Arabidopsis thaliana: one gene and its partner. The protein of the gene in region 2 interacts with the protein of the main gene of each other region in a pairwise test. Each region holds a gene or a part of one and is shown on either strand. Other genes may lie near its edges. The genes, in order: UBA1A and AT5G06770.

The links.
Region 1: the proteins of AT5G06770 (region 2) and UBA1A interact in binary tests that used the Arabidopsis thaliana proteins (3 or more experiments, as listed by UniProt).

What each region holds. Positions count from the first base shown.
Region 1 is NC_003071.7:9,385,377-9,395,810, forward strand, and holds UBA1A (RNA-binding (RRM/RBD/RNP motifs) family protein), read right to left. Parts: upstream 5,131-10,434; 5' UTR 5,075-5,130; coding exon 4,031-5,074; 3' UTR 3,674-4,030; downstream 1-3,673. Other genes in the region: AT2G22070 (pentatricopeptide (PPR) repeat-containing protein), read left to right, coding at 1-586; AT2G22080 (uncharacterized protein), read left to right, coding at 1,589-1,717, 2,217-2,621; AT2G22088 (uncharacterized protein), read left to right, coding at 3,008-3,164, 3,426-3,673; AT2G22100 (RNA-binding (RRM/RBD/RNP motifs) family protein), read right to left, coding at 7,021-8,169; AT2G22120 (RING/FYVE/PHD zinc finger superfamily protein), read left to right, coding at 8,650-8,776, 9,072-9,157, 9,536-9,682, 9,788-9,896, 10,396-10,434. UniProt on the Arabidopsis thaliana protein: Acts as a component of a complex regulating the turnover of mRNAs in the nucleus. Binds with high affinity to RNA molecules that contain U-rich sequences in 3'-UTRs. May function in complex with UBP1 and contribute to the stabilization of mRNAs in the nucleus.
Region 2 is NC_003076.8:2,087,885-2,099,355, forward strand, and holds AT5G06770 (KH domain-containing protein / zinc finger (CCCH type) family protein), read right to left. Parts: upstream 5,118-11,471; 5' UTR 4,904-5,117; coding exon 4,825-4,903; exon of another isoform or gene 4,296-4,824; coding exon of another isoform or gene 4,283-4,295; coding exon 4,222-4,282; exon of another isoform or gene 3,695-4,221; coding exon of another isoform or gene 3,636-3,694; coding exon 3,053-3,635; 3' UTR 2,819-3,052; downstream 1-2,818. Other genes in the region: AT5G06750 (Protein phosphatase 2C family protein), read right to left, coding at 40-361; AT5G06755 (uncharacterized protein), read right to left, coding at 963-1,201, 1,283-1,403; LEA4-5 (Late Embryogenesis Abundant 4-5), read right to left, coding at 1,870-2,259, 2,343-2,429; EML2 (Emsy N Terminus (ENT)/ plant Tudor-like domains-containing protein), read right to left, coding at 6,263-6,309, 6,399-6,462, 6,560-6,628, 6,706-6,933, 7,139-7,207, 7,734-7,892, 8,005-8,113, 8,208-8,317 and 1 more; AT5G06790 (cotton fiber protein), read right to left, coding at 10,204-10,833.

The DNA of each region.
Region 1 (10,434 bases), on a different chromosome or scaffold from region 2:
TTGCAGAGTTCACAAGAACATCGATCTTGGGAAAGTTGCAGCAGAGAGATTGCTTCTTCTCGAGCCAGAGAACAGCGGGGCATACTCAGCCTTGGCTAACTTATACTCAGCTTGTGGAAAATGGGAAGAAGCTGCTAAGATAAGAAAATCAATGAAAGATGGAAGAGTAAAGAAGGAACAAGGGTTTAGCTGGATTGAAGTGAAGCATAAAGTCCATGTCTTTGGAGTGGAAGACGGGACTCATCCAGAGAAGAACGAGATCTACATGACCATGAAGAAGATTTGGGACGAGATCAAGAAAATGGGTTATGTTCCCGACACAGCTTCTGTACTACACGACCTCGAAGAAGAGGTTAAAGAACAGATTCTAAGGCACCACAGCGAGAAACTAGCAATCGCATTTGGACTAATTAGCACTCCGGATAAAACCACATTGAGGATCATGAAGAATCTCAGAGTGTGCAATGATTGCCACACGGCTATAAAGTTCATTTCCAAGCTTGTGGGAAGGGAAATCATAGTGAGAGATACAACAAGATTTCACCATTTCAAAGATGGGTTTTGTTCTTGCCGAGATTATTGGTGAAAATAAGGAAGATCCAAAGAATTCTCATAAGGTCTAACTCAAGCCATTGTACAGAACAGATTCAGGTATGGCTTCGTTGGAGGGAAACCAACAAAAGTTTTCCTCTTTCATTGTTTAATTGGTATGTAAGTTCCATCATCATCATAGTTATTGAGCATTAGAATAAGATGACATGGCATGTGAGTCTTTAGTGCTAAAGGAGAAGGATATAATGAACGATTGAGATATTTTTGGGAAAAGCATAAAGAGGAAATGGAATTGGAACAATCAGAAAGAAGTATAGAAGAAGAAGGAGAAGAAGAAGAGAATATGGTTCTGTTTGTTACCAAAAGCTTTTCTTTTTAGTTTTTACTAACCATTGACTACATACATACATTAATACATAGATGAAGAAAGATCTTGGTCGGCATAAAATGTATGACTTAACAGAGAGAGCCCACACTTGTGTAGCTTACGTGGCAGGTCAATTAGAGATGATCACATAGAGTCACTGCCCGTACTGCCCTAAGGATTCGTAGTAACAACTACGGGCAGCTTCACACTCTTCTCTTTCATCTCTCATCTCTCTCTTCTCCTATATCTGAGATTCTGAACAACTCTTCTTTGATCACAAATCTCACACTTTTTCCATTAATGAACAGAGCTCATTTCTTCTAGTCCTTTTCTCTTTCTTTCTTCCTTTTTCCGCTAATTACAGAGCTTTTCTTTGGTACGTTCTTCTTCTTCTTGTATCTGTTTATTTTGTTTCTTAGATTATTGTTTTGTATGTTGTCAAATATTGAAGTAGAGGACAACCTCTAAACTTGGTTGTTTCCTCTGTTTTTCATGATTCTTTCTATGATTGCTCTGTTTTGTCTTTTTTTTTTCTCGTCAATAACTTCAAAACGAAGATTGCTCCATATTTGATAAATGGACAAGAAAGTTGTCTGAAAATTTTGCTTTAGTTATTATTATTGCAGATCTAACGGTTTTCATAACTGTTAAATACAGAGTGAAGAAAGAATGGAGTTGAAAGAACAAGGTATGAGTATGAGGTTGTCTCTGGTTCTCGGTAACGCTTTAGTGCTAAACTGCGCCGCTTTGGCTTTAACGGCTACTATGCTCTCTTCTTTGCTAGAGCTCTTCTCTCAGGCAAGCTTTTTCTATTTTCAACTTTTTTTTTTTTCCTTCTTAACAAACGTTTACAAGTATTCGCGGTCGCACAAAACAACAACTTTATAAAAATAGATTTTTTTCTACACAAAAGTTTCACACAAATTTTTTTGGCTACAAAACTAAATCTTGACCGACTTGAAGCGTTACTTCATCAGAATGGGTGGTTGGAAAAATATATAAAATTAAAAAGTTTTGGTTAAATATTGTGAGGGTATGTATATAATAATAGCTATTAGTTGAGGACGGTTGCTTTTAATGGGGAATATTAAGATAGATTTTTAAAATCTAAATTATAAATTGTAGGTCCAAAAAAAATCAAAAAGGTATATTCCATATATTATGCTTCCAAGTTTTTCAAATTTAATGTCTAGAAGAAGCCCATGTCCTAATTTAGTATGTCGGCCCAATTTGTAAAATCATGTTAACTTGGTAAAAGATTGTTTCTGGTAGTGATAAAATGAATATGAAGCTGCAGGTTACTGTCTTGAAGGGTGATGTTATAGAGAATGGATATGAGGTGGTTGATGCAGTGGAAGGCAATGGAAACAATGATGATAGTGGTGATGATGGAGGAGAAGACGAAGAAGGCAGTGCAGATGATGCAGAAGGAAAGGAGACCAAGAAAGGACCGGTAAGTGATCCTGATTTGAACGGTGAAGCTGGAGATAATGATGATGAACCTGAAGGGGATGATGGTAACGATGACGAGGATGATGATAACCATGAGAACGATGATGAAGATGAGGAGGAGGATGAAGACGAGAATGATGATGGTGGTGAAGAAGACGACGATGAGGATGCGGAGGTAGAGGAGGAGGAAGAGGAAGAAGATGAAGATGATGAGGAAGCGCTTCAGCCACCAAAGAAGAGGAAGAAGTGAACAAACCGCTTTGATCTCCTAACATTTTAGATTCAAAAATCAAAACTTGTTATCGGTTTTTACCTGAAGAGGAGAGAATCTTAAGGCATCATCAGCTTTAGCTTCAACTGTGTCTTTGTTGTTCCATAAACCAAGACTTTGTTTAGTGTAACATTTTCAGATCCAATGGCACCAGCTTTCTTTTCTTTAGCCCATCATTAATGATATATGCATATCTCTATGAGGTCATCAAATGCGATCAAATTTATATAACAACTTCAAGGGTCAACTTTAGCTGTCATAAATAGTTAAAAGAAAGTTAAATCCTATTGAGTCCTCATAGAGCAAACCTTTTTCCCCAGAGGTCACAATACAGATTGCACAGAGGTCTTTAACGAATAATCACAATGATATTACTTGAGCCACAGACTGTCTATCGTATGATATCGGACAAGAGTGACATCAAACAGAAAAAAAAAGAAAGGAAGAAAAAACAATACAAAAAAAAACTAAAACGTACTGACTTTGATAGAAATGTTAAAAAGAAATCCCCAGAAACTGCATGTTTATCATTCTCATGCTCAGCCCACACCATCTGCAAAAGTTGGAGTTCAAGAAAACAAAACAAAACATAACTCTATCAAAAGCTGAAGACAAAAAGAAAAACATATGGAAACAAGAGCAATGCTCTATCTTTCTGGTAAGATAACCCCGAAAAGTGAAAACAATAGAAATCAAAGGGACAAACATAAAAAAAATGTTAAAACTCAAACTTAAGTCTAAAACCATGAGTGCAACAGCATGAACAGATGCTATAGTTTACAGTCCGTTTAAAGACGTTAGCACCAAAACCAGATGAGTGGAGAGATGGTGGACGTTCAGTTTATAAAACCCAGTGCAACACTAAAACAAAAAAAGCCAAGAGACAAAAAGAATGTAACAATATTCGTCCCCACCATCACCAACCTATAGAGAAACTAACTTCGATAAAACAAATGGCACTTGAGAAAACTGTAAAACCAGGGACAGTAAAGAAAAGAAAACAAAACATAAACCAACAAAAGGAAAAATAATGGAGAAAACAAAAAAAACAAAAGTATGGTGGGTCACATTGCATCTACTTGAAATAGAGTCGAAGCAAGATTCATGAATAATGAATTACGGCAACCGATGACAATGCTAACCTACCTCTAGAACATAATTTAGGTATTTAATTCCTGTAGCAGTTCCTCCTAGGAATATACATATTTAGGCATTTAAGCCAACTATTTGACTAGAGAGGCATAATAATGTCAGATAAAATTCCGGTACTACCACAAAAGCCTTAATCCATTTATCTACACATGACGGAGCTACAATGAATTTATGCTTATCCAAAGACATTCAAACCACAATATTAGCACAAACATTGCTACAAAACACCAAAGGTTTCAGTGAACGTACCATGAATAGTTTGAGTAGCCATGAAAGGAGGAGCCACCAGCATCCGAATCTTTACCCGTCCCTCTTTTTCCACCAGCATCCGAATCAGGATAAGTACTAGGCAGACTCTGACCTCTAAAGTAAGAACCTAGAGCTGAAAGACCAGCAGCACCAACGCTTGGATCAACACCAATCCCACCCATTTGACTAGACTGTACCATATCAGAACCCAACCCGCCATGTGCTAGAGCACCCGCTAACATCGGATACATGTAACCTCCCCCAGCTGCTGCTGCTGCTGCTAAAGCTGGATTTCCCAACATCCCAGCTCCATAAAGCGGATGGTATTGGTTCCCTAACATAAACGGCGAAGCAGCCATTCCACCACCGTTAAACACATGTTGACCTTGTACCTGCTGTTGCTGAGGCTGTCCATGATTAGCCATCGAACCCATACTAATCTTCACCGGACCAGGTTGATCATGCCCCTTTCCTGAAGCCGCAGGACCCATAGAAGCAAGCTGGCAAGTGGCAGTTCTATTAAGAATCCTCTTCTTCGGTTCTTTAAGAGCTTCTTTAGCTCCTTTCCTAGTCTTGAACATAACAAATCCAAACCCTTTAGCCTTACCAGTAGCCTTATCTATAACAACGGTACACTCTTCAATCTCACCATAACCTTCAAAGACTCCAACAAGAGTCTCGCGAGTCGTCTCCCATGGAAGACCATAAACGAAGATTTTCCTGTGTGTAACATCACGATCTGCGGCTTCTACGACGGCGGAATAGATCGAAGATCCGATTCGAGAAGCGGAACAAACTAGATCGACAAGCTGGTCCTTGGAATAAGGTTGTAGAAGCTCACGGAGCTCTTCTGGGTCGAATTCGTTGTCTGATTCGGAATCGCTAGAATCAGAGCTGGAGCTTGAACTTGAATATGGCGTTGAGGATTCTGGTTGTTGTTGTTGTTTGTTAATCTTCTGTTTCTTATCGAAATTCGTGGATTTGGATTTCACGAGTTTGCGCTTCTTAGATTTGTCTAGGGTTTTCGCCATTGTAGTAGAGGATAAACGAGTCAAGAAGCTTTTAGGGATTTTGATTTTTGATTTTTGATTTCAGTTTCCTGTTTCCCCTCGGGTCAAGAGTTCGATTTACTTTATCCTCGAGATGTCGTTTTTCCGATTTTTTCAGTTTAATTTTTTTTTTATTCGAGTATTTTGCTTTGAATATATTTTCAAATATTTAGATTATTTTTGGATTGGTTTATTTTGAATATTTTTATTATTTTACATATTTTTAAATATTTGCTTTATATTTAAGATAAGGCCTTAGATCTTTGTAGAGGTTACATGGCAAGATGCTGGCTTTAAGTTATGATGGCTATACATCAACCGGAATACCATAAGCTCCCTAACTTTACGGGGTGTGAACTTTGTGGTACTTTTCTTTTAGAGCGCCGTCAGAAAAGATTCCTGGCTAGGCAGAGGTTTTAGCCATATTGGTGGTGTCGCTCTGCTACTTGTTTATTCATTCACCAGTTGAAACTTTTTTTTCTTTCTTTTTTATCTTTATGTGTTATGAGAAACTAAAAAAATAGTCACCGAGATCTTAGAGAGGGTTTTGTTTTTGTTCTTAAGATTTTCAGAGTTTCCCCATTGGAAAGAAAAACAAAGCCCTCATAAGATCATGATCACAAAACAACGAAATCAAATGACCAAAACCAAACCAAAGTTGATTTAGCTGAAGCATACTATAGATTAATACGAGTTGATTCATATGGATGGATGGATAGCTGCAGAGAAGACCAAAAACCGAGAAACAAGATTGATCCTCTTAAGAAATCGAAAAACTGAAAACAAGATTGATCCTCTTAAGAAAACAAGCATTCGCATCATCGGTCACTGTGAGGTCATTGTGAAAATCCAAAGAAAAAAAAAAAAAAAACAAGTATGCTTTGCTACCATAACCAGAGTTATATAGAATATGAATAACGAGCAGGTAAAAAAAAGGTAAATCCAGAACAAAGCTATGTAAGGTGAAAAACAAATTGGGTCCAAGTACCGATGACCAAAAACAATCTTGAACTTAGGCAAGAAAACTTGGCAACTGATATCAAAATGGACTCTTAAATACAAAAGAGAAAGGGGCGACACTACCATAAAAGAGGAATGTGATGAAAGAGATTGAGAAGCTTATAAAAACCTATGGGGAAGAAAACAATGCTTGAAGGAAAGAAAACTCAGGTTGTTTATTCCAGAGAAAATCAACTTGAAGCTTTTGAAAGAGTCCCAAAACTTTTTCCAGTACTCAAAAAGACAGATTTAAAACAAGAATGTAAAACCATTATGTCTGATCCTACAAACGGGTCTCAAGACAACTGCAGCTGGAAGATACAGACTTTTGGCAGTTATGACATATAGTGGACAAAACTATAAATGTCATAAGCTTCTTCTCCAGCTATAGCGAACAGATATTCAATGAAAATGCGGGAAAACATAAAACCAAAAACAAGGAAAAACAAAAGAGAAAAACATACGCCATGCCACAGAAGAAAACCAGACGTGAGTTTGATGGGTAAGGAGAAGACAGAAGACCATAATGGGGGACTCCAAAAGGGAAAACAAAGAGATAGCAAACTACTTTAAACCAATATTGATCCTAGTAACTAAATCTTCTAGACAAAATGACCACATTTCACTGGTTTATGAGAACAGAGCAGAACACCAATGACAGACTTCCAGAGAGCAACAGAAAATTCATCCTTTGAGCACACATCTCCCTCAAAATGGCTCATATAGGGGTAGATACCTCGTTAAAAGAGACTATAAATAATGAAACTAAAAAAGTAGGTTTGAAACATCAGGCATAGAAAATAAAGATCCGCAAAAAAAACTCCTGCAATTCCCAAAATATCAAGTTGGAGTCGAAGATACCGGACTAATCATTAGCCTAATCTATAACTTGAAATATCAGAGAACATGGTCATACCACTTGGGTTCTCTTATCTCAGATACCAAGCACGTTCACCATCAAAACCAGCACCAGCACCAGCACCCGCACCAACACCGTTAACATTACCATCACCAACATATTGTCCCACCATTCCCATATGATTCGGTGGCATCATAGGTCCTTGATTCATCATACCCGAGCCAAACATACGATAATTCTGTAAACCAGCAACCATCGGATTACCCATCATTGCACCATACATAGGATTAAAACCAGGAGGAGGCTGAGAATGTCCATAAAAGGGCATGTTCTGTCCAGCATACATTGACATATTCTGCTGCTGCTGATGTCCCTTATCAAGTCCATGACCCAAATCAATCCCAGGCAAAGCCATTTCACTCTGATTACCCGTATGACTCAAATCAATCTTCACAGACTCAACCGGTTGTTGTTGTTCTCGTGGCTTTCCAGAATTAAACGGCCTAGCTGGTAAACAACTAACAGTTCGATTATACATTCTCTTCTCCGGATTCTTCAACGCCGCTCTCGCTCCTTTACGCGTCTTAAACAACACAAAGCCAAAACCTTTAGCTCTTCCTGTATCTTTATCCATAACCACAGAACATTCCGTTATCTCCCCATAAACCTCAAAAGCCGCCTTGAGATTCTCATGCGTTGTATCCCATCCAAGACCACGCACGAATATGTTCCGTTGAGAACTATCTCTATCCGCTGATTCAAACACTGCTGAGATCAATTTAGAACCTTTCTCAGCAGTTTTGTAAATTAGGTTAATAAGCTCCTCTTTAGAGTAAGATTCAAGTAGATTCTTAATATCTTCCTTATCGAATTCGAAATCAGAATCAGACTCAATGGTAACAATCGGGACCGTAACAGGCTTTGAATCGACGATCTCTTCGGATTCATCTGATGATCTCTTATGTTTCTTCTTACTCTCCTTCGATTTCTTAGGAGATGGAGATGGAGATGGAGATTTCTCCTCTTCTTCTACTTCTTCGTATTTCTTCGATTTCTTCTTTGATTTCTCTGGTTTCTCTTCCTCTTTGGATTTCGATTTATGTTTTTTTGAGATTTTCTTCTCTCTTACAGCGAGTTCTTCAGCTTCGCGACGCTTCCTCTCCTTCCTCTCCTTCTTCTCTTTCTTCTCCTTCTTACGTTCTTCTCCTTCTTTCGCCATTGTTGACGGCAGTGGCTACCAAAAAAAACACTCTGAATAGAGTAACTCCTCTAAAATAGGGTGCACCAGAGAACACTAGATTATTTAAGTATATTTATAATAAAGTAAAGAGTCTAACAAAAACGTCTGGGTGGTGTAGTCGGTTATCACGCTAGTCTCACACACTAGAGGTCCCCGGTTCGAACCCGGGCTCAGACATGCTTTTTTTTTTGCAACACATAATTTTTTTTTTTAACATGAATTAGTAGAGGGGCAAAAACGTCAAAATACAGAAAAGGAAAAAGATACAACATTTCTGGTTTTTGTGTGCCGGCGAAGAACCGGTGAGTGACGGGTCAATTCACATACTTGTTTAACGGCAACAAAAACCTACCGATAAATGCTAAACTAACGAAATCGGATCATAGCTCGACGAAGTCTCGATCTTTTCTATTCTCTCTTTCTGGGTATTCGTGGGTTTTACCCAGATTTCGAAATTGAATGGCGGACGAACTGGAATTGTCGCCGTTGGTTCCACCGTCGCCGATGGTCGAGCCTTCCGAGATCGATCTCGAAGCTGGAGGACCTGGTGAACAAATTCAGTGCCGAATCTGCCTTGAAACTGATGGTAATGTCTTCTAAAACCATTTAGATTCGCTTCTTCCTTAAATAGATTCTTTGCTTCTTGCTAGTGATTGTTGAACATTTTCATGTGCTCATAGATATGTCTAACTTCAGTTCAAGAATTCGGATTATGAAATTCGAATTGGCTAGATCGTTAATGGTTCTGATGTGATTTAGATTAGTGTTAGTGATAAACTCTTTTTTTATAAAAGACTAGTGATTTAAAACCGTGATATAGTGAGAGAGCTTTTGTTCTAACTTACTTGGTTGATTCAAGCTCATTTATTGATCATGGTCAGGTAGGGATTTCATTGCCCCATGCAAATGCAAAGGAACATCAAAGTATGTACATCGTGATTGCTTGGATCATTGGAGAGCTATAAAGGTTCCATTTTTTCATACGCTTTAGCTCAACTTGGGTCCATGCTTGGCTGTCGTTAGTGTTACTTGAAACTTGAAAGCTATGAATGCTCGCTTTCACTCTTTGACTATTTGTTGTTATCCCTTCCATTTTCAATCAAATATGACAACCTGTGTAAGTGTTATTGAATAGGAACTTCCCTTTTGTTGTAAATTTCTATTTTTGTTGAATACGAAAACCATTCGAAGGCTAAACAACTAAAGAATGATGGTTTTGGATGTGAAATTTTCAGAGTTGATATATGTTTCATGAGTGATGATTAGAGTGGTGGTGTTTTTGGTAGTATCATGGTAAAATAATGAATAGCAGATGTTGACGCCTGGTAAGCTCGTTTTATTGCAGGAAGGTTTCGCGTTTGCGCACTGCACAACTTGCAAGGCTCCATATTATCTGAGAGTTCACAGTGCTGGAGATAGGAAATGGCGGACATTGAAGTTTCGCTTCTTTGTTACTCGAGACATTTTATCCATATTTCTTGCTGTTCAGCTTGTAAGTATTCATTTTTCATGTGTGCTTCTGTTTCTTACAGTAGTTTTTCTTTCATTTGGTAATATATCTAACTCATGCCTTTTAAATGACTTCATCTGCTCACAGGTGATTGCTGCATTGGCCTACATGGTCTATTTCATAGATAGTTACCAGCAATCATGGCTTCGTCATATATGGGGTTTTGACAGTGAGGTCACGTTTTATTACATGTGTGGTATGATCCCAAACTTTAATATCTAAATAAATTCCCCTCTAGATAAGATAATATTTTTTAGTAAGACCTCTGCCAAGTGTAGTTGGTAAGACGGGAATGCTAAGTTTATTATTGTACATATGTCCTACAGTCCTTGTTAAAGCTTTGCTTCAATCAGAATCTTAGATTCCAATGTAAGGAGTTTGCTATTAGATGATTTCATTGCCTCTACGTAGTAGGAAGTGAAGCAAGGGTTTTGTGATCAGTTAGATTTAGATCAAAAGTTAAGGGGTTGGCTACGTTACGAATATACAGTTAGAGTTCTGGACCTCGTAGAATTTTTAACTAAATAAGAATTTTCAAAGCAAGTGTATTAGAATTTAGTAATTAAAATTTTGTGTTTTACACAGCTCTTCATGAAAATTTGTTACTAAAGAAATTTATACCAAGTGATTCTAAAATTTTACATGTGTGTATGAGCTACTGGTGTTTATTTACATGAGGATTTTGTTGTGTGCAGGAGCTTTATTATTCTTTGCTCTGCTGGGTCTATCTGGAT
Region 2 (11,471 bases):
TGACTTGAAGAAGACAAAAAGAGATTAAAAAAAACTAACTCATCAAATGAGAAAAGAGATGATCAGAGATGTATCTAGAAGCTTCAGGACCACCATGACCATCGTAAACTCCGACGAAAACGGCACCGTTTCCAGTCTCGACTTGACTATGATCTTCAATAACCTCGTTAGCTTGCACAACAGCAATAGAGAAATCTCCGAAAGAATGTCTCTCGAGTTCTCTAGACCAAAGAAGGGAGTCACCGGAGGAAGAAGAGTCACCGTCGTGATCATCATCATCGTCATCATCTCTGTTCATACGACCGTATCGCCGCATAGGTCGTAAACAAAAAAGAGCCATTCTCGCTAACCAGGAGAACATCCCTCATTTGCTCTCCACGACCACGAGAATTAACTCTTTATTTTAGGTCGCCGGAGACCACACCGGAAAGAGGAATCTCGTGATTTGTTGGATCGAAAAGCTTGAAACAGGTGAAGAGAGAAAACGAGTTAACGAATCGGAGATTGCGAAAACAAAAAGCAAAGTTTGTTCCTTTTTTATTTTCGATATGAATTGAATCTTTTTAGATGAAACTGAAGAAAAAAAATGTGAGATTTTTGGAGAAAAAGGAAAAGACTTTCGTTGGTCTTCAAGAGTGAGAGAGTAGTTGAAGCAAAGTGTGAAAAATATGATTTGTGTAAATTAAAGTTGTCTCTATAAATTAAAATTAAATTCAATTGATGACGTGATTTTTGGTACGTATTACCAAGGATCTTACATCATATTTTTGTTTTTGTCGATTTATTTAGAAATAGAAGTCTAAAAACGCGTTTCTTCTTAAAAAAAGTTAAAAGCATTTGACAAACCTAAACAGAGGATCAACCGCTCAAGCTCAGGTTTCATAAACACACTCTTCATCACCAAATCCTGCCCAAAAGGCATTCCAAAATCAGCCACAAACTGGGCTTTGAGCTTGATAATATCACGCTCCTTGCGGGTGATCCCTTGATGAGGAAGTAATGGGAAACTGATTAGGTTCTACATCATGAGTTTGTGGTCTTGACTTCAAAGTTGTTGGATCATCAATATCAGCTTGGATACTATGAGATCCCAGTGGAGTCTCGTGCATATCGTTGTACTCCATGTTAACAAAAAACTGAAAAGCATCCAAATCAATCAAAGCCATCTCCACTCCATGTTTAGCCTCCTCCTTTCCAAAAACTGAAAGACATTTTTCTTCCTACAACCACAAAAAAAAACACCAACGAAGATCCAAATCAGATTGGACGATTATAGAGCAACCGAAGAAGGAAGAAGAGTCAGCGTGAAAATCGAAAACGTACCAAAAACTGTAAAGGTTATAATTGTGAGTCTTTTGACTTTGGTTTTGTACTTCAAATACTAATGTCGGATCAATGATCATCTAATCGTTAAAAATCTTCATGGTTCAAAACGAAGTGACTATTTTAAGAATATTCACGCATGGTACATGTTGTTTTATACAAACCCATTGCGCAGAGAAATAATTTTTCTTTGATAACATAGTAGATTAATTCAAATATGATGCGAATGCTTCTCTTCAAAAACTTAGCATTAGCAATGTTTCTCTTCAAAGTTCAAAAAGTTAGCAATGTATTGTTATTGTTAAGTTGCATGGGCACAATATTGTTAACGGATAATTTTACTACTGTTACATTGCATGAACATTCTACTCATAAAGTAAGACTATCATCCAACAACAAAAACCTAGATGAGATCGAAGTCCTACAATTATTCAGAAGCACAAGAAAAAGAAAAAAAAAAAACAGAACACGAAAGTAAGACAGAAAACCACGAAATTTCGATTCAACAAAAACAGAGCAAATAACAGAACAAGTGAACAACACCGTTTATCCAGTATATCCCCCGCCGGTTCCGTACCCGGTGGCACCACCACCACCAACGTGAGTGTTATGAGCGGTTGTCCGACCAGTTCCAGTGTTCCTTCCAATCGGGTCGGTCACAGCCGTGCCCTCCACAACGCGGTCGGTCAGTTGTCCCGTTCCGTGACCAGGCAGAGCCGACATCTGATGTGTCCCAGTGCCGTGTCCGACTTGTCCAGTGGTCGAGTGAGTGGCCGTCCCCAAACCTAAACCGGTTCCGGCTCCAGCCGCTTCTTTCATGGCCGCGTTGTGCTGACGCGTTTCTCTCTTCTGCATCTCAGCTTGATTGATCTTATCTTCTTTAACCTGTGTAGCCATCTGTTTCTGAACAGGGTCTCGTGTCTTCATCTTCTCCGCCTTTTGAAGACAAAACAAACCCAACGTTACACCATTTTTATTATTTTACATCAATAAATTAATAATAACCACAATTCTGTTACCTTTTCCTCCAAGGTAGCTTTGGTTTTGTCCATGCCAGATTTTGCAGAAGCTGCAATATTCGAAGCTGTTTCTTTCATCGACTGCATTTTTACCAAATCTCTCTCTTTTCCTTTAGCGAAATTCAAAGATGTTACAAAGATATCTTCTGATTACTTTTGTTTATTGTTTTGCTCACCGAGCATGTCCCATAGATATAGCCATAGGCCTCGCGTTCGTCACGATAGTTTAATATTTAATTACGTTCTTGACGACACGTCAGTGAGACGTGTCATGAAAGAAGAGGAAGAAGAGGTGGTAGGCTTTGTGTTTCAGTTATTGGTCCTACACGTGTTGGAAAGCCTTTGAGTCGTTGAGAAGATAGATGTTGACGCGTGTTAGGCTTTAGAGTTCGCCTCATGTCGGCGGTTAACCCGGTTTTGTAATCGATAGGTTAAGACAAAACAAGTATATTATTGTGCATGATATCTTAAGAGTTAAGACAAAAATAGTATGTAGCTGTAATATAAGGGTTTTAACATATCAAAGTCTTTTAACTGTGATCGGTAACTTACAGAACTCGTCGAATCTTCAGAGCTCAATACAGAATGGGCTAAAGTTTTCAAAGCGAGTCGCATAAAACAAATTGATAAAACAAAAAGAGAGAGCAAAAAGTCACAATGATAATGGAGCTAACAATGCATAATCTGTTCTCAAGAGTCTAAAGACATAACTAAGCGATTCCTGACCTGCGCAGCTCAGATTCACCATGAGCAAAATGGCATCTATCTCCATATGTACAGTTCCCTTTAGAGTACCTATCACAGATCTTGGTTTTGTAGTTGCTCCCAGGATGTGGTTTCCCTTCAGGACCACCAATCCCTTGAGGTTTCTTCACTGATCCAAGCCTCCCTATAAGCTCTCTCACCATCCCACTCGCTACATTGATCTGTTCAAATGTTCCTTCCAGCTCGATAATCTTCAAGTTTGGGTCTCTTTCATGATCTTTAATCGATAATTTTGCTCCTGTTTCACGGCATATCTGTTTGGAATGGATTCCACCTTTTCCAATGATGGCACCGGCTAAAGAAGCATCTACACTGATCTTGGAAGTAGAAGCACCAAAGATTGAAACAGGGCCTGATCCTGGATCTCCTCTCCCTGAGAATCTGCCGCCGGGACCACCAGATCCTTGCATATTTCTGGAAACTTGAGAAACCGGTGGTCGGAGATTTGTCATCTGCGCTGCAGCATTGTACCCACCGGGCACATAGTGCAAGAAGTGGCAATTGTCACCAAATGGACATCCAGAAGTGCTGCAGTACAAACCATAATGCATCAGCAAATTCATTCGAGAAAGAACAAAACGACACATCTCCAAGCTGTTGCACTATTGCTACCTTCTCGAAAAAGCTATAGCGTTTTAGTACAAAGATAATGAAAGAAATTTATAAAGTAATAAAACAGATTGTAGTCATTATGCATCACCGATGAACAACACGTTGCACAGGAGCCGAAAGACTCATGGATAGTTCAAAGATAATGCAAGAAGAACCTTACTTGAGAACAATGGTTTTATGCTGCATATGCAAAATTACAGTTTCCTTACCATCAAACAGAAGAAGAATAAACAAATTGTTTACAACGACAGCCACAAAAACAAGTTTTGGTTGATTTTGTATATTAGATTCACCAGTAGAGTTCAGTTCCAAAATTATACTCCATATAAGCTTATCATCCATTCTTAGGAGGAATCACAGTTTGTTACATTGACTTTTTAACTCGTTTAAGGATGAACAGTGCTACGTACCTGTATAACAACTATCCACTTCATTAGCACACTTTATACAGTATTACTTCTTAATTTCATGATCCAATCAGGAAAAAAAATAGATTTATAACCTGAAAAATTTAGTGCATGGCTTGGATTTGCTTCCTAAACCAGTTGAAATTGATTCCATCTCTGTTGCAAACATTAAGTGCTTTTACTTGGTTAAACTTTTCTACAATTTTCTCAATACATATCATTTGGACTTGGCACCAGTATACCATTCTGGTTTTGAAAATTTCCAGGGTTATAGAGTTTTGAAATTGAACTCAACAGCTTGAGTTGATACAGATCAATATATCAATCAAGTAAATCCAGTAATGTTGAGTGGTCACAAAGGCTAATGGGAGTTGATTGATGAATCCAATGAATATGAGAAGAAGGGTAAGCCAATAGCACAACACAAAGCAGAACAAGATACAAACTTCTCATATCAATTGTCTCCCAACTCTCAAGTAAGGTAATACCAGACTGAAGCAGAAAAAGGGTTTGCGACTAATCTCTCTAATGAACACAAAAATGAACAAAGGAACAACCTTTACGAGAGACAGAGCACACATTGCAACTAGAAATGAACAAACATAAGTGATACCAAAACATTCTCTCTTGTTGTGAAGATCTCGAATTTCTAAAACCCAATTGGAGACAATAGGAAGGAGAGGAGTGAAAGAACAAACCTTGCTTAGACCTCTTGAATCCGCCATTGGAGTTGTGAGAGGCAGCAGCTTCAGGGCGTCCTCTCTTACGAGCATCCATGTCTCGATAAGATCGATTGAATCGGAGTAGGTAGAATCGAAGAAAGATGAAATGAGATCTCAAAGTTTTGTGATATGAGCTTTGCGATTCTTATCCTTTTAAAATTCTATTGGGTTTATCATCATCATCATCATCTCCACACACACAGCTCAACAATATAAATGGGGGATAGAGGTTTGCTTAATTTGTTAATAATATAAATTAATTCGTGGAACACCAAAAGACCAGGAGACTAATTCCATTATTAATTATATGGATTACTATAAATTTAAAGTATATACATTAACATTAGAATGAATTTATGTTTTGACAATAATAGAGTTTATTTGATGAGACTGGAATCAAACTTGTACTCATGCAAGTAATAAACACCAAAAAAATATTCAACTCTGATTATTTGTACACATATTACTTTATATTTATTGTTAATTCACATCCAGTGGTTTCAAAAATAGAGAATTGTTAAATTTGCGCGTTTTAATTGTTTTATCATAGTCACATTAGTTTTAATATATTCAAAAAATACAGAAAAAATAATTTGGGTAACGAGTCATTTGTAGAAATTTTGGAAAAAAATCGTTAAGTTTGGCGCGTTTTAATTTTTTATCATAATCACAGTAATTTAAACTAAAAAGTAGTATTTTTTTCTGATAACTCTATCAATAACATTCAATCTAAAAAAAATACGGAACATATAATTTGAATAATCGATCGGTTTAAGATTGCCATTAAGATTGAACATATAATTGCCATTAAGAATTAAGATTGTCATTTTAACAAAAGAAAAATTATAAAAAATTTCTAACATCGGGTCGATAAGACGATAACCCTGATACTAATTTATTGTTAACCGTTCTTATAACCATTGAATATATTTTTTTAAAACAATAAAATAAATTGAAGTAAAGTAACCATTGAAATATTTTTAAAATTGAAGGATTCAGTGACAGGTGATTTATGTTGATCTCACTTTCCATCTTATATTCTTGCTAATTGAATCAGATTTTGAATGTTATGCTCAAAGGTCAAAAGCCTCTTCTCAATATTTACATGCTTGGTTCGATTCTTTTTACATTGTTTAGACAGGAATTGGGGATTTGAGCAAGTAAATTATTAACGATCCTGATGGCAAGCCTGATGATGATCACACAAGTTCAGAATTTTTTTTTAAAAATAGTGTTTTTACAAACAAAATTCCTAACGATTATTTTCATACATTCTGAAACCACAAATTAGAAGAATACTACTAATTGTTCATCATATATGAACAAAATCATTTTCTGGGATCCCTTAAAGCAAAACAGAAGAAAAAGAAATATTGCTAGTCATTTTTCCTAGGGGTGATGGTGTCATACATACTCACCCCAGCAGCATTGGAAGCTCATGCGAATACGGTTCTTCTCCATCTGGTTCACCAGCACAAATTATGTTGTTGTTAGTGATCTTAGTGCATGACAAATAGAAATAAACAAAGGCCGCTGTTCACATTTATTACCGCTTTCGTAATCAGAAGCATCCGTAAGCCTTGCAATGGCAGCAATAAGCGCCTGTTCATGTTCCTATATCATCCAATAACAACAACACCAAGTTTCACTTCACTGTTTCTTTCAATCGATATCTCGTCACAAAGTTCTTATCAATTATCATATCGCTCACCTTGAGTAGCTTCTTGGCCTTATCAAGCTCATGTGGATCAGGAAGGTTTGAATCAAAAACTCTCTCGACCTAATGCGAAAGATTTCGACATCAAAAACCCTTTTTGCCTAAAGAGAAACAAAATGCAGAGAGATAGAGATACCTACCTCTTTCACAAGTGAGTCTGTGTTGAACAATTCAATCTCACCGAAAAACTTCCTCCCACCACCGTTTTCCGTTGCTAAATGTTCTCTTCTTGGCTGAGTTCTTGGACCTCTCCCTCTACCACCATGGCTTAAGGTCCTTCGATTCCCACGAGTTGTTCCACCGCCATGTCCTACATTCAAAGTTACCCCATCTTCCTCTCCATCCCATCTTATATCTTTCGTTGGAATCTACAATTATATAACTAACTAACTTCAGATTCTGCTGAAAATGTTTTCATACTAGGTGGATACACTATACAAATGTTTCCCACGTAATCTTACTAATGAAAGCTACCTCCAAAAACAAATGTAACTTTACCCAAAAGACATTCTTGGCAGCATTTTCCACAAAAAACTTAAAAACCTAATAATATCAAAAACTCGTGAAGATTACCTCATTAAGATCAACCCATTCCCATGTCTCATTCACTGTGTTTATATCATATACCAACGCATGTCGACCCTGCGAGAGAACAATGAATGCATCAATTACAATATACTTAAGCTATGTTCAACGCTAAATACAGTTCCAAACTTCTAGATATATCAAAGTCATAGTATACTTTTCAACGCCTCATATGCACATTAACAGTAAACACCTCCTTTCTTCAATTCATCAAGAACTACACTATAGAGAGACTTGATTAACTAGAGAAGTCTTTCGACAAATGCCTAAACCATGATCCTAGACTAATCCAGAGTACCCCGGCTCATTCTGCCTAAACTTCCTTTTTAACTAGTGAGCTATCTAGCTAAGCGATTCGACTAGTTGCTTAGCTTTCTACACAGTTACAATCAACCTAAAGTAATTGCAATGCTCACTCACTAGAGTAACTCTGAACTATACGGTAAATTTCGATCAGGCTTTGAGGCCTTGGAGTCAGATATTCGAAGTACAGGAGACACCTCGACACACAAACATATATAATGCTGAACATATGAATTTCTGATTCAATCTCAATAAAAAGGTCTCAGCCATCAGAAGTTACCTCATTTGCATTGTATTGTGTAACTACTGCTTCATAAAAGCTGTTGTCTTCAGGCCATTTTGTCCACACTTTTCTTCCAATAAGAGCTTCCGCAGGTTCATTTGCTGATACTACACGGTTATTGAATGACTTACTTCTAGTAGAACCAATCGACGGATACTGCATGTGTATCACAAATGATATGATCAGTAAATAAACAGAAAACCATATGCAAATACAGATATCCTCTGCTTGTTGTTCTATGACCAAAGATTAAAACAAGAAGTCTTACGGATTGGAACGTCTTCTGTTTCTTCCGAGAAGCTGAAAAAGTCGGACTAGGATGAACATCGAGGGACTGATGTCTAACAACCTGGTTTCCACCTCTTGGTCTCGAATCTCTGTTGGTCCAGTTCCATCATACAACACATTATTACAAGATACAACGAAATCTAGATTCATAGCTTTACTATCACAAATGATCAGACTCGTTACCTTATTCTTTTGATAAGATCATCATTATGGACATTGTTCAACAGTTGTCGGTTTTCATCATCAGATATCCTCAATTCTTTACGTAGGTTTGTCATCACGGTTGCTTTATCCTATAAAATGAAACCATATAAGCCAAATCCTTTGTCTTTTGATGGCAAAAGGAAGAAAGAGGACTTACCCAAGAAAATTCATCAGCCTGTGCTTGAAAAGCTCTTAATACAGCAGAATAAGCTTCCTGCTCAAGTATATGAATCTGCGCTTCCATATTAATGTGTAGACCTACCATATACTTTCCATCCAAATGAAACCAACCCTTCTTCTGAAATGTAGAAAACACTTTATAACATCAATAGTTTAACAAACTACTAAATTTTCAGGTACTTCACGAAAAACATTGGCACTAATCAGATTCATGAATAATTTTGACAGTCGAGGTCTCATGAGAATGTAGGAGCTTATTGGTGGACTTATTGTATCAAGAAATTGGATAACTTTAGTTTAAGCGAATATTCGGACAGCAAAAAAAATAGACATGAGATGATCAAACAATCTAATAGAATGTGAAAAGAATATCTTAAACCCTAAGAAAGAGAATAATTTAGTAAAACCCTTTTTTTTAAACTCCAGTGATATTTCAAACCCTAGAACTGTTAGATCTCTCAATGGACAAAAGAGAAATGTCTTAAATCGCTCAAACTAAGTACAAAACAGAAATTATACCTCCTTATTCAGAATCCTGTCGTAAAACAGCAATCTTTATACGAAACCCTTAATTGTCGAAGAGAGAAAGATTGACTCCCAAACGCAGAGGCTATAAAGAGCTGATTGGATCCGAAGTGAGTAATTCGTAGGGAATTGAAGAGAGAAATTGAAAGAATTTGACAAAAAGGAAAGAACTTTTCTAAGTATTGGTAGAGATTGATCTTGATAAAAAGCGGAAGTGCAGTGTTTTGAGCTGGCTGGGCACAGCGTGCGATGAAGAGAGAGAGAAGAGAAGATCGAAGACGGGAAGTTCCAAGTTGGAGGAGAGAGAAACCTTAGTTTGGTCGGAAGCAGCTTAAGACAAGACGATGCGTTTTTGTTTAATTTCATTTTGGGCCTATTTTATGATAACATAGGCCTGTTTGGCCCAAACTGTTAATGAAAATATGAAATGTATGTTTTTTTTAAGGCACCTCTACTGGAGTCTCTAAAGTCTAAACTAAGACTTGTATTTATAATAAATAAAAGTTGGTTTTTATGCTAAAATTGTTTAGAATCAGGCTTGTTAATTTAATGTTTAAATTTTTTATATATCATAAAAAATAAAATTATCTATATATAAGCTCCATTATGCATAAGCTTAAACTATATATGAATATTATTTTTAATTGATATTACATAAAGTTAATAAATAATTTTAAATTAATGTAGTTTTAGTTAATACAATTATATAATTTAGGAAAAACTGAGATTTTGAAAATTAAAATTTACACTTTATAAATTTTATCAACATTTTGATATTTTAAATATAACTTGTTTTATATGTTGTCTAGCATTTTTAAGGTTACACTATCTTAATTTTTTGCATAATGATGTTATTTAAGGAAATATTTTATTTCTGATGGATCTTAGAAAAGTCAGATAAGTAAACTGAAAATCGAAATTGGTCCCGTTGTATACAACCAAAAGAAAACAACAATATCAGAAGATAGTAGCAAAAGAACGTCATAAACCACAAAAGCCAAAGTTACAAAAATCCATTCCATTTGTATCCTCTCTTCTCCTTTTTGGACTGTCGTCTATTCTAGTTTATAAACCACCACCATCAATATCATCATCATTAGACTGTAACACAACAAACACCACACAATCCATATATCCCTATGCTTCCAATACACATTTTCAGATAATTCAAACTATGCATGTGAGGAGTTTCAAAAGAAGAAAAGAAGGAAAAAGTGAAATCACATAAAAAGAAATGAAAGATACAAATTAGGCCCCATCATCATCGTTATCAACCGCTTCTATTCAGGGTTCCTTGGGATCTCCTATATGAATCAACTTTCTCCAACATGAACTTCTCATGGCAATTTGCTATAAACCTATCAGCCAATTTATCAATCTCATTCATCATCGTCTCTGTCTCCTCTTCTTGGCCGTCTTTAACTTTATCCTCTAGCTGTCTTAGATAGCTAGAGAGCTGAGATGGTTCTTGATCATCATCATCGCGACCATCCATGGATTCAGTGGAGTACATTGACTCCCAAGTCGATTCGTGTACGAGATGAGCTAAGTAGAGCTCTTCCGGGAGACGCACTGGCGCAGAGACAGGCACTACGTGAGAGGAGCAAAAGTTGTAGTGAAGTCTGAAGGAGCCGAATAATATATTATTCTTTTGTTTCTTTGAGACTCTCTTTGGATAGAGTAAAGAAGACACTGACAAGAAATTGTATTGCTTCTTTCTCAAGACTCTAACAAGAATGGATGAAACTCTAGATATTTCTCGGAGTAGCCGACAAACTTGAGAAATGATGAGAGTTTGTATTAGGGATTTGAGTTTCATGGAGCTTGAGGTTGGTGAAGAAGAAGATGAACATTGAGAAGAAGACATAGAAGAAGATGTTGATTTGAGTGGCATTGCCATTCTCTCTCTCTTTCTCTTGTTACAAATTAAATCTTTGGTTGGGAAAGGCTTATTTCTAGTTGAACATCAAATATTATGAAGAAGGGTTTGACTGAAATATCCTTATACTTTTGGACTATTTAAAGGGATGCCATTGCCACTCTACTTTGGAGAGTTTAATTGTGGTCGGGGTGGTGTGTGTGAGCCCACTTGATCTGACGTGTTTAACGAATACTAGGAAAATCTCAGATTTGAAAGAAAGAAAGAAGAAGTGACTTTAGATTCAAGTAACTGACACTGATCATTGCTTCTCTGTAGTCTGTACTCTCTTTATTTCAACTACAATTTTCACATCTTTGCTAATTTCTGTCAATCAATAGCTATAATATTACCACTGAATAGATTGCAAAGTTCGACAACAAAAATGTAATCAATAGTAGTTATTATTAGTTTAATGTCTTTCTCTGTTAATGAAATCAAATAGAGTGAAACTATATCCATCATTTTGCATGGTTTAATTGATCCACAGTTTGGTCATTGGTGTAACACCAAGTATGTAATATCGAATAACAAACCTAACGACTTTACTAAACATTCAAACGGATATAATAAAGGTGGGATGACGAATCTTAGACCACATGAAACAAATTTGTACAGCA